Linked DNA regions of Macaca fascicularis. The protein of the gene in region 1 interacts with the protein of each later gene in a pairwise test. Links are inferred from orthologs where the notes say so. Each region holds a gene or a part of one and is shown on either strand. Other genes may lie near its edges.

Region 1 (3,751 bases):
GGGATCATTGAGCCTTTTCTGTAAAGGGCTGGATAGTTAGGCTTTGCGGGCTATATGGTCTCTGACCCAAATATAATCAGTTCTCTTTATAATGTGACCTATGTGTTCCTGAAAATCACTATGCCATGCAATTTGCACAATAAAAACCACAGGTCTCATGGGAAAAATGGGGCTTGAAGCACAACACTCAAATGAGTGACACATGTTAAAAAAAGGATAGCTTGGTTTTTACATGTCAAATGGTTGAGAAATACATAAATATTACAATAAATACGGCCTTTTATCTTGAAGACATGCACTTTGCTTTTGGAAGTGGATGTTGGAAGGGTTGCTCAACACAGGTGGGCAGCTAAGTGAGGTAGCTGGTACATGTTCAAGTGTGAGTTTTGTGTACTAGTTAGGCTTGGTTCAGCTGGGTACAGTTTCCCATATTCACCTAATGTTTCTCGAGGATGAAATCATACACAAGCAAACATTAAGCCTGCGTTATGATCAAACTGTTCCCAAATATATTAAATGGGTTGGAACAAATGCACAATTTTGGAAGCAAATAAGGGTTATAGCAGGATTATACTTAACTCTGCTGTTGTAGCACAAAAGCAGCCACGTGAAACATGTAAATGGGTGAGCATGGCTGTTCCAACAAAATTATGGATGCTGAAACTGGAATTTCATGTAATTCCTACCTATCACAAAATACTGTTAATTTTTTTCCCCATTTAAAAATGGAAAAATCATTCTTAGCTCATGGGCCACACAAAAACAGGCACTTGGGCTGGGTGCGGTGGCTCACGCCTGTCATCCCAGCACTTTGGGAGGCTGAGGCGGGTGGATCACCTGAGGTCAGGAGTTCGAGACCAGCCTGGCCAACCTGGTGAAACCCCATCTCTACTAAAAATTTAAAAATTAGCCAGGCGTGGTGGCACGCACCCGTAGTCTCAGCTACTCAGGAGGCTGAGGCAAGAGAATCTATCGAACCCAGGAGGCGGAGGCTGCAGTGAGCCAAGATCATGCCACTGTACTCCAGCCTGGGCAACAGAGCGAGATTCTGTCTCAAAAAATAAATCAACAAAAAAAGGGGCACTTGGCCGTAGTTTACTAGTCACTAAAGCTTTCATTGGCTGAAAAGCCAGAAAGGGAGCCTGTTTGATGCTAGCTCTGATCTAACTCTTCTTGGGCCCAGCCTTATTCTCTGGCCTTTCTTGACTGTATCTCTGCTTTCCTCAAGTTTTCTCTTGTAGTCCTTTCATCCACAGCTGACACATGACCATCTTTGGACAACCTGCTCCTGGCTGCTGCAGCCTGTCATGGGAGAAGGCAGAGGATGTGTCCCCAGGTGGCTAACAAGGTGAATGTAGCCTGGAGAAACAAGCTTGGAGATCAAGGGAGGTGGCTCCTATATAAACGGGACAAGAATGTCCTCCATCTTCCAGATACTAACAGGAGTAATGCCCACCTCCATTTACTACACCAAACACACAGGTTCAATAAATACCTGCCTTTGCCTTTATCCACAGTGACCTGACACAATAGCCATAGAAAAAGTACTCACACCAAGCCCCAGCTGGGGACTGGGAATGCCAGTGTATGGTATAAGTCGGCTCTCAGAACTGAACAGGGGTAAGGGCCTAGAATGGAAGAGGGAACCAGCCAGACCCTCAGTCCTTCCTGTCCTGGACTGGAAGCCACAGATGTTCCTGTGATCTGTCACTGCCCTGATCTGGGTCTTTAGCCATTAAGGTTTGGTGTCATCTTCAGTCACCAACGGGGGTCTTGGTGTCCTTCCAAACCCCTTTGGCCAGGACAACTGACTGTTTTCTCACTCCATGGTGATGGGAACATCTTCCACATCTCGGGGGACTGCGCTCTGAAGCTCACGCCTGATTTCGGGGGATAGCTGTGGATGGGGCTGCAGCCGGAGCAGTTCTAAGAGGGCCTCTTTCTGGTCTGTGGCCAAGTCGGCCTTGTAGCGCTGGACCAAAGTCAGGAGGCACTGGTGCCAGAGCACAGGCAGTTCACGCTTCTCTGTCCGGAACCCCAGGAAGTGGAAGACTAGGGCATCCAGCACCCGGTAAGGCAGTGCATACTTCTTATCCAGCAGCAGTCGCAGGAAGATGCTGTTGGCACCACTGTATTCCATCTCAGCAATTTTCAGCATGGCCGCGCTAGTGGGAAAGGGAGGTGGGGTAGAGTTAGCGGGGAAAACATTGGAAGAAGGATCCTACTTCTCCCTCTGTGCTTTCCCCCTTTTTTCTTCCCCTCTGCTGGCCCTTACACTATGGTATTCCCCAGGGACCTTCTCACCTACCCAATCGTATTATACTCGCTTGACTTGAGTCACCATCTCTACAGGGATCCACCCAAATCTCTACCTCCAGCATAGACTGCTTGTTTCAGTACCCAACTAGAGTATGGTCCAAACATCTCAACGTCTCCACCCTAACTACTTTCTTCCTGTGTTTCCTACTCATTTGTTCATCTATTTACTGAGTACTTTCTTTATACCAGGCACTCGGGCCCTGTTGTTGCAGAACTTACATTTAGGGGGATAATGATACACCTACTCATTGGCTTAAATAAGCACAAACCCAAGACTATCCTTAGCTTCTTCTCCACTCTACCCATCCCCAAGTCCTGGCAATTCCACTATCTGGATATCCACTGACCAGCCCCCACCCCGCCGCTCCACCCCCAGCAACGCTACCTGGAGTGCAACACAGGGATGGAGCACTTGGTGATGATGCTACCCACAATGATGGCTTCCCGGAGGGTGCAAGTGCCAGACTCGCACAGTGGAATCAGGACCCCTGGGGAGAGTCAAAGGGCAGTCACTATGAGCCCAGGATGAGAAAAAGGAGTTACAGTAGGAAGCATTCCCACCCAGCCCAGGGACAGCTAGCAATTTCCCACACCAGGCCTGCTGTGTTCCCCATAGAAGCTCCAGCCCTTCACTTTCTTCCCTGCCTCTGGGATCCCACCTTTGAACCAGGCTCCAGGTTTGAAAAGGGCCTTCTTGAGAGCCATATAGAGATGGAAGTTGAGTCGTTTGTATTCAGCAATGTCATCTCGTACTCGCGGGAGCAGGACAAGGTTGTAGAAGCGCTGGGCCATGCGTTCCTTCAGGTTAGAGGCAAAAATCCTAGTGGGAGTTAAGTCGGGGAAGTTTCCAAGTCACACGACAGTCTGGACCCGGCCCATTAAATATCACCATGGATAGTGCATACAAGAGGTTTTAAAGTAAAATATGGGACCTTTCTTTCAGTGAGGGATGTGTGGGAGCTGTGTGCATGCAACACCCATCAGCTTAGAGAGAGAATAGGAGGGGCAATGAGATATATCCAAATGAGGAGTGCCGTCTGTCTGTGGGAGAGCCAGAGCTTGTGCAAACTGATGGCTACTCAGCTACTCTCCTTCCTCTTGCTATCATGGCTTCTCTCAATTTTGCTATCACTAGGGCCCTGAGCATGTCTGGACAGTCACAGACTTCTGAGGGTCCTGCTACAGGGTTGTATCCAGTGGCTATAAAAGCCTCTCCCCTAGAAATTGATCATGGAGGGCTGTATCCCAGTGGCTATAAAAGCCTCTTCCCCTAGAAATTCATCACAGAGGGTTCCTAACTGGCTAACTGGGTCTTGGCCCCAAAAAATGACACAAGAAAAGCTAGAAAAATGATGCTATAAAGTAGCAGAGAGGGCCCTGGGGCCAGAGGCAAGGAAAGCCTGCCCGTCCCAAGCCCAGCCTACACCTATAG
Region 2 (3,751 bases), on another chromosome or scaffold:
TAGAGATGGGGTTTCATCATATTGGCCAGGCTGGTCTCGAACTCCTGACCTTGTGATCTACCTGCCTCGGCCTCCCGAAGTGCTCGGATTACAGGCATGAGCCACCGCGCTTGGCCCTGCCTGGAGTAGTTTTATTCCAGCTTAAGCAACATCCGCCCAAATTTGATTTACAAACATCAACAGATCATCTGTCAGTGTTAAGTACGTTACTCTCGGAGTCCTTCAGTGGCGTTGCCGCTTTCCTTACCTCTTCATGGTTTTTCTTAAGGCAAAGGAGATCTTCCTTCAGAGACTCCACATGGGCCTCCACATCAGATTTGCACAGGGTCAGCTCATCCAGGATCCCATGCAGGCCACTGATGTCTGCCTCTAATAGCTGGCGAAAGGACAGTTCACTCTCGTACCTTTCACGGCAAAAGAGAAATCCAATGCTTACTTTGCTGAACGCTGTGCAAAGTGTGGGGATACGTGGAGGATCGACACATGGACTTCAGGAAGCCACATGCATAATTTCTCTTAATTCCTAAGTAATGATAAATTCAAGCTTTTAAAACATTCTTGACTTTAAAATATTATATAGAGAATATTTGTGGGGGTGTGTGTGTGTGAGAGAGAGAGAGATTAAGAGAGAGAGAGAGAGCGAGCCATAAATTATTTTCAAATTAAAATTAAGGCAGGGTGTGGTGGCTCATGCCTGTAATCCCAGCACTTTGGGAGGCCGAGGCAGGTGGATCACCTGAGGTCAGGAGTTCAAGACCAGCCTGGTCCACATGGTGAAACCCCATCTCTACTGAAAATACAAAAATTAGCTGGGTGTGGGTGGCGGCGCACGCCTGCCTGTAATCCCGGCTACTCAGGAGGCTGAGGCAGGAGAATCGCTTGAACCCAGGAAGCAGAGGTTGCAGTGAGCCGAGATAGCGCCATTGCACTCTAGCCTGGGCGACAAGAGTGAAACTCCTCAAAATAAGTAAATTAAATTAAATTAAATTAAATTAAATTAAATTAAATTAAACTTACTTTGACTTAAAGTCATCAGTGGCCAGTTTGCAGTTGTCAAGCTGTACAGCAAGTCTAGAATTCTCTGCTTTCGTGCATAAGATCTGGGAAGCAAGCCATTATGTGACAAATGATTCTTTGAGAGAAACCTAAATAAACTTCTATCCAACAGCTGTGCCATTAGTTATCTTTTGAAAGTCTTTATAAGAAAGTATAAAATCACCCTCAGCCTGCTTTTCTTATTGACCTTGTCGCTTCATGAAGAAAAAAGCAGTGCCAATTTAGAAGCAAAATAGAGAAATAAAAAGGTTTAGTTTTTTAATAACATAAGACACTTTGCAACATCCCTAGGCAGTTGAACACCATTAACGTTTTCTCCATCAGTAGTTTGTATTATGACTCTATCCTCTCCCATAATAATAGAAATTCATCAAGGAGACAAGCAAATGATTACTAGGTGGTTAAAAAGATGGCATTTGACGATTTGTGTTCAGATAATATAAATGTTCAGTGTCAAATACAAAAGCGATTTTGGATGTAATACAGTTTTTCTGCATTCTATAGATGATGAAGGAAAAGCCTAAGGGCGAGTTACTTTATTATAGTCACTCAGTTATCAGGGGTAGTTCTGGCGCTGGTGCTGAGGTTTTCTGACTTTCAGTCCAGTGGTCTCCCCTATGTACCATTAACTCCTGGAATTCCCCTTTCCCTTGGTTGCCTTCTGGAAAACCGTCCCTCTGGTAGAAAGATAAAGCAAGTCATAGATCCGGAAGGTGGAGCACTAGGGCAACAGGACACACACCTTTTGTTGGAGATCTTCAATGGTGTTGAAGTAACACTGATAATCCGGGCACACCATTGGGATATCCTGTTCACATTGTTCTTGGATCCTGGATTCCAGCTCTGCGTTGGTCTCCTCCAGGCTGCGCACCTTCTCCAGATAGTTGGCAAGTCTGTCATTCAGGAACTGCATCGTCTCCTTCTCATTGCTAGTGAACACCCCATCCTCACACCAGGCACAGTTCCCCACCAAGCAGGGACTGTTACAACTCCCAGTAAAGTAGCATGGCAGGAGGCAACCAGTCAGCCCGCGAGACCTGGATAGGAAGCTTGGAGTCTGACATCGGGATGTAGCACAGGCACCGGGGAGACAAGCTGTTTCTATGCAACAGCTTGAGGCAGGTGCACAACCGGAGGCCGTGGTACAGGATTCAGGAGAGCAGTGTGTGGAGGAACAGTCAGAAGTCATCCTTCCAGAAGCAAAGACAGAGGCTGGCTGCAAAACTTCAGTTGCCTTGACTCCAAAACTCTCCTTCCCTCCTGAGAGTTTTATAACGCCCCAAAATGGGTGTTTACAGACTGCACCGGATGTTTTCTTTATCACTGATGGTGCCAGTTTTCATACAAACATCTCATTAGAGTTGTTTATTTACTGAGGAAGAGTTTTATGCCTCATAAAAGAGGGATAACTTTAGGTTACCGAAGCAGGACCTACACCATTTCCATGTGCCAGACAAAACACTTATTTCAGAAAATTGTCATAGGAAACATTGTCCTTTTGACAGAATAAGAAAAGAAAGAGAAAATTTGGCCAATCAATAATTATAGATACAACTCATTACAAATCAGGAAAATAACATGTCCACAGATTTTGATTCTGTGCATTGATTGCTTGGGTCCCCTTTTAAAATTAGTATTACAGCTCATAAAATGACATTTATTTGTTTGTGCCACCACCATAAAAATGGTCAGTGTGATTAGCAATCTTTCAATGCTTTTTGTGTTCTCAGAGTATGTGCTGACAAGACTGGAGGAGTGAGCTATATATTGGACTTAATGTGTGTGTGTGTGTTTGTGTGTGTGTATACAAACATGTCTACCTGCGTACAAATGGAAAAGTCACTTTACGTAACTGATAGGAATAACTTGTTTTTCTGCAGGCTAAAATATAAATTGGTTAGAGCTGGAATTATGATCTTTGATTTTCTGAAACTTGCCTTCTCCCCATTTCTCATTTCTTGTTATTAGATAAGTTACACTATTTTACGTGTATTTCTAATGAGAGTGAAATATAAATTGTAAGTTATAACCTTTTAGTCCCTTGGGAATTCCTCAATGATTATACTTCAGAGTAGGGACAAGGAACCCACAGGAGTCTTTTCTTCTGAGATGTACAGCCTGTTTTCTCCTATTTATTTATTTATGAAGGCCTGAATTTCATGAAAATTAAAACTGCTGGAACTTGCAAAATAAAATTTTATTTAGGTTCCAAATCAGTGATTCCACTGGATGAAATCTCTGGTGCCAAATCTGACAGATAGGAACTTGAGATGTGTAACTTTTTTGGATTCTGTCTTGGATTTCAGCTCCATTATGAAGCATAATCTGTTTCACTTTGCTTGGTTTTAGTCGTTATGTTTATTTCATTTTCAAAGGTGCATAGAGAAAATTGCCTGTAGAATTTTTGAGAACATTATAGGAAAAGAAAACACAGTAATCTGAAAAAGTTAAAAATTTTTTGATCCAGAATAAACTTATTTTTTCCCCTAATCCTGAGGGCTACTTCCTAGGTAGCTGATAATAGAAACCAAACCAGAAGAACATATGTAAGTGAGTTAAAATAGTCTCTGAGGATTTATTACTCCCTGGGCAGAGTTAGGTTTGAATTTAGTGATTCTCTTTACACATCAACACTTATGCAAAAAGTTCTTAGAGTGTCTCATGGTATATTGACGCTGCTCTGCAACAAATATGA
Region 3 (3,582 bases), on another chromosome or scaffold:
CTCAAGTACAGGTTTATGAAGATCAACTAATTCCTTAACGAAGATCTCTTGGCCCCGCCTGCCAGTTTCACTCTGTCTCCCACAACCCCCTCCAGGCTCCTTAACATCCAGCTCACTGGCCGTCTCCCCAGTGCTGGAACTCAAAAGGCTTTTGCTCACTTTGATCCTTATGCCTTATATGTCTTCATTCATTTCTACTTTTCAGGCCCAGGTAAGTCACCTGCTCTGAATTCACACACTTCCCTACTAAGAGTTGACTCCCTCCTCAGGGCTCCCACATGATATCCACACACTCTATATCGCAATTCCTTGTTTCCATTTCTGTCCCACACCTTCGTCCCATCCATGTCTCACCTTTATGTTCCTAGTGCCTTGGATAAGATATGAAGCACGTTACATTCCCACTGGTTGACTAAACACACTTCTGCTGCTGAAAAGCAGGGGCTTGGCCCAGAGGATAGCCGAAAAGTTTTTCTCTTCAGAACTGAGTGTTCCGTCAGCTCATCTCCACAGCACCTTCCAGAAATAATTCTCCCTCAGTTAAAGGCTTACCAAGAGCCTTTAACTACAAGCAGTTCAACCCCATTTGATGACACTCAGTGAAGAACATCCATTTCAAAAAGATTGATTTATGATTCTTTTATTAACACACACAGGAGGGGCTTTGGTCATGTGAACAAAAAATTTATTTTTTAAAAAAGGCTTTTTAGGTCTTTGTTTTTCAAGGCAAATTAATACTTACTATACGTTTGACTTTGACCTCCAATCTGACAGGTCTACTACCCTGATGAACTGGAAGAGACTTTCCAGGCCCTGATAATGTCTTTTCCTTTCTCTGGCCTCTTAAAGCTCTTTGTAGACTGTCTCTTCGATGCCATTCTCTGATGCCCCTGTAATGTGTGAGGGTATTACGACAGTTCCTAATCAAACTGCCTTGTCATAAAAGGTCAGCTATGTGGTCTAAATCAACTCACCTGACAGGTTACACAATATATATCAGACAATGTGCCACAAAACATAGCTCTCCTCTTTCATCTCACAGAGGAACTAAAGTTCCAAAATATATACAAAACCACCTTCCATCTCCAACTGTCTTCTCGTTCTTCCCAGCTTTATGCAAAGCAGTCTCATTAATACATTCTTCACCAGGCTCAACCAGGCAGCGTAGTATCTTCCACTGCACCTCTAAAGTTGGAAGATTCTGATCCCAAGTCTTGACGTGTTCCAAAAAACGATCAGGTCACAAAGGTAACAGCAAAATACAAGGCCATGCCCAACATTTCAAAAACACAGCGAAGTAACAAGAATAAACGTGACCACGAAAACAACTTAATTAAGCCCCATTTCTCTTGTGAAAGTATTTCTTCGACAAAAGTTGTATTTCCAGAACCAAACACATTTGATGATCTAAATCCATATCGAGGTCATCAATCACTGACCATAAGGGAGACTGTTACATGGGGGTAAAAAACATACAAAAACAAAACAGAGAAAATGACAAGCTGTTTCAGTTTCCTCAAGGTGTCAGTTCATCCTTACCAGTTGACTACAGTCCTCAGCTGTGAACCTAAAGCACAATTGGGAGAAATTTACCATGAAGACATTGACTCTCAAAGTTCCATATCTTGATGTTAAAAATAAATGTGAACCACCCAGAAGAATGCCACTTCTTTGAGACACGGTCCTCTGACATACCTGTCTCATAGAACAGTCTGGAAATTTCAGGTAATGGCCTCTGGCTTTACTCTTTTATTTCTTTCCCTGCGTTCTCAGCCTGCGTTCCATTGTGCTCCACAGCCTAGGTCTTCTGTGGCTTTCCCCAAACTCCCTTAGTGCCGAGACAGGTCTACTTCCTGGCGACTGCCCTATTAGAACTGACTTACGTTTCACAAAAACAAACCCGAAGTTACTTTTATTTTTCTCTAATTACCAGTGTGGGAGGGCGAGGCCACAAAAAAACGGTATACTAACACCTAACAAAACCAGCACGCATTCTTTCCTCTTGACCCCAACTTTGTTCCCAATGCTCAATTTTTGATGCGATAAAATGGGGGATGCAGGCCTAGAACATAACTTTTTACAGGGCGCGGTTTAACCATGCTTAGGGGGACTACTGAGTTCCATCCAAGCTCCCGCGAGTTTCCGACCTTACCGCCGATCTCCTCCTTCAAGAAGACTCGCTTCTCTCTATTCGCCAGACGAGCTCGACCAGCATCTCTGCCATCTTCGCAATCTCCTTGGCCTTCTCCTCAGCCTTCTCGCACAACTCCGACACTCTCTCGTCGGCTTCGCCACTCGGGTGCTGCACGTGATTGAGGGCGCTCTCCTCCGAGGCCTCTACCTGCGTTTTGATCTGGATGAGCATATTGTCCATCTCCCACAGCTTGCTCCTGGTTCGCAGGTACGCCCGCCCGTGCTCGCGTATAAGAGACGCGATGTCCTCGCGCATCTCGTTGATGACCGGGAGCAGGAACTGCTCGAAGTCCTCCTCCGGCTCCAGCACCTCCACTTCCTCAGGCGCTTCCACCTCGTCTATGTCCAGGGGCCGCATCTCCTCCTGCCGCTTCTTCAGTACCGGAGGGGCGTTCTTCTTACCGGAACCCCCCAGGGACTGGAGATCAGCAGTGATTGCTGGAGGCTGAGCCCACACGCTTTGTCAATAGTACTCCCGAATTATCTTTACTTTTTTTCTTCCTTTTAATTGTAAGCCTTTAGCTTTAGAACTCCGTGGGAAGAATCGCCGTGGATACACACAGCAAAGCGACCTGCGAAATGGAGTCGCAGCCGTCAACTCGCCCTCGGCCTTTTTGCGGCCCTTTCACGACAGAGCCGGGCTCCTTTACGGTCACGCCTTCGGCGAGACCCAGTAGCGGGCGCGCGCACGTAAAGGGGTCTCGGGCGCGCGCATGGCTATCCCCGTCAGCTTCCCGGCGCCCCGCCTCGCCCTCTTCTCTAATTTAGATTGGTGGCGGCAGGTTTGTTCGCGTCTTCCCCTAAAGCTTCCCTTCAGAGGGGTTTTACTTTTATTATTATTTTTTTAAAGTAAAAATGACCCTCCCTTCCCCATATTTGAATAAGACTGGCTGGCGTTCACAGCGCTTACTATCTAAGCATGCAGAAGCTTGGATTAATTTATATGAATTCACTTAGCCCTCACAACGAACCTATAAGAGAAGTAAAAACCGGGCTAAAAGTCGTGATTTGAGCTCAAAGCAATGTGGGTCCACAGTCCCTGCTCAGTGTTCTAGAATGGAACTCGTCCCTCTGTCCTCCCCACCCCTGGCTCATACTTTTGTTCTGGGGGGAATTTCGCTCGCTGCCTTGGGTGGTTCTGGCCCGTGATTTTTGGTCTCTCTTCAGAGTCTGTAAGGTCCTCAAGGTAAAGGGCAACTTCTGTTTCAGTTCTGTCCTCCGCCCTTTCCGTCAGCCTGGCGTCAAGCAGGGCCTTAGAGAATGCTTTAGAGAGAGGAATTGCCTAGTACCTAAGTGCCTCTACCAGACTGGAGGCTGTTTGGGGACAGGTTCTGGTCTTGGTCACCTTTATGTCCCTCCACACACAAGACCTGAAAATGAGCAGGGACC

What was found.
Region 2: the proteins of BYSL (region 1) and KRT40 interact in binary tests that used the Homo sapiens proteins (3 or more experiments, as listed by UniProt). The two-hybrid records come from large-scale screens. The link is inferred for Macaca fascicularis from reciprocal best matches to the Homo sapiens genes BYSL and KRT40.
Region 3: the proteins of BYSL (region 1) and MRFAP1L1 interact in binary tests that used the Homo sapiens proteins (3 or more experiments, as listed by UniProt). The two-hybrid records come from large-scale screens. The link is inferred for Macaca fascicularis from reciprocal best matches to the Homo sapiens genes BYSL and MRFAP1L1.

The regions. Positions count from the first base shown.
Region 1 is NC_088378.1:129,635,178-129,638,928, forward strand, and holds the end of BYSL (bystin), read right to left. Parts: intron 3,140-3,751; coding exon 2,979-3,139; intron 2,808-2,978; coding exon 2,705-2,807; intron 2,166-2,704; coding exon 1,820-2,165; 3' UTR 206-1,819; downstream 1-205. UniProt on the Homo sapiens protein: Required for processing of 20S pre-rRNA precursor and biogenesis of 40S ribosomal subunits. May be required for trophinin-dependent regulation of cell adhesion during implantation of human embryos.
Region 2 is NC_088390.1:62,068,484-62,072,234, forward strand, and holds the start of KRT40 (keratin, type I cytoskeletal 40), read right to left. Parts: upstream 2,300-3,751; 5' UTR 2,246-2,299; coding exon 1,799-2,245; intron 1,101-1,798; coding exon 1,018-1,100; intron 405-1,017; coding exon 248-404; intron 1-247. UniProt on the Homo sapiens protein: May play a role in late hair differentiation.
Region 3 is NC_088379.1:6,384,436-6,388,017, reverse strand, and holds MRFAP1L1 (MORF4 family-associated protein 1-like 1), read right to left. Parts: upstream 2,795-3,582; 5' UTR 2,552-2,794; coding exon 2,168-2,551; 3' UTR 2,153-2,167; intron 1,568-2,152; 3' UTR 625-1,567; downstream 1-624.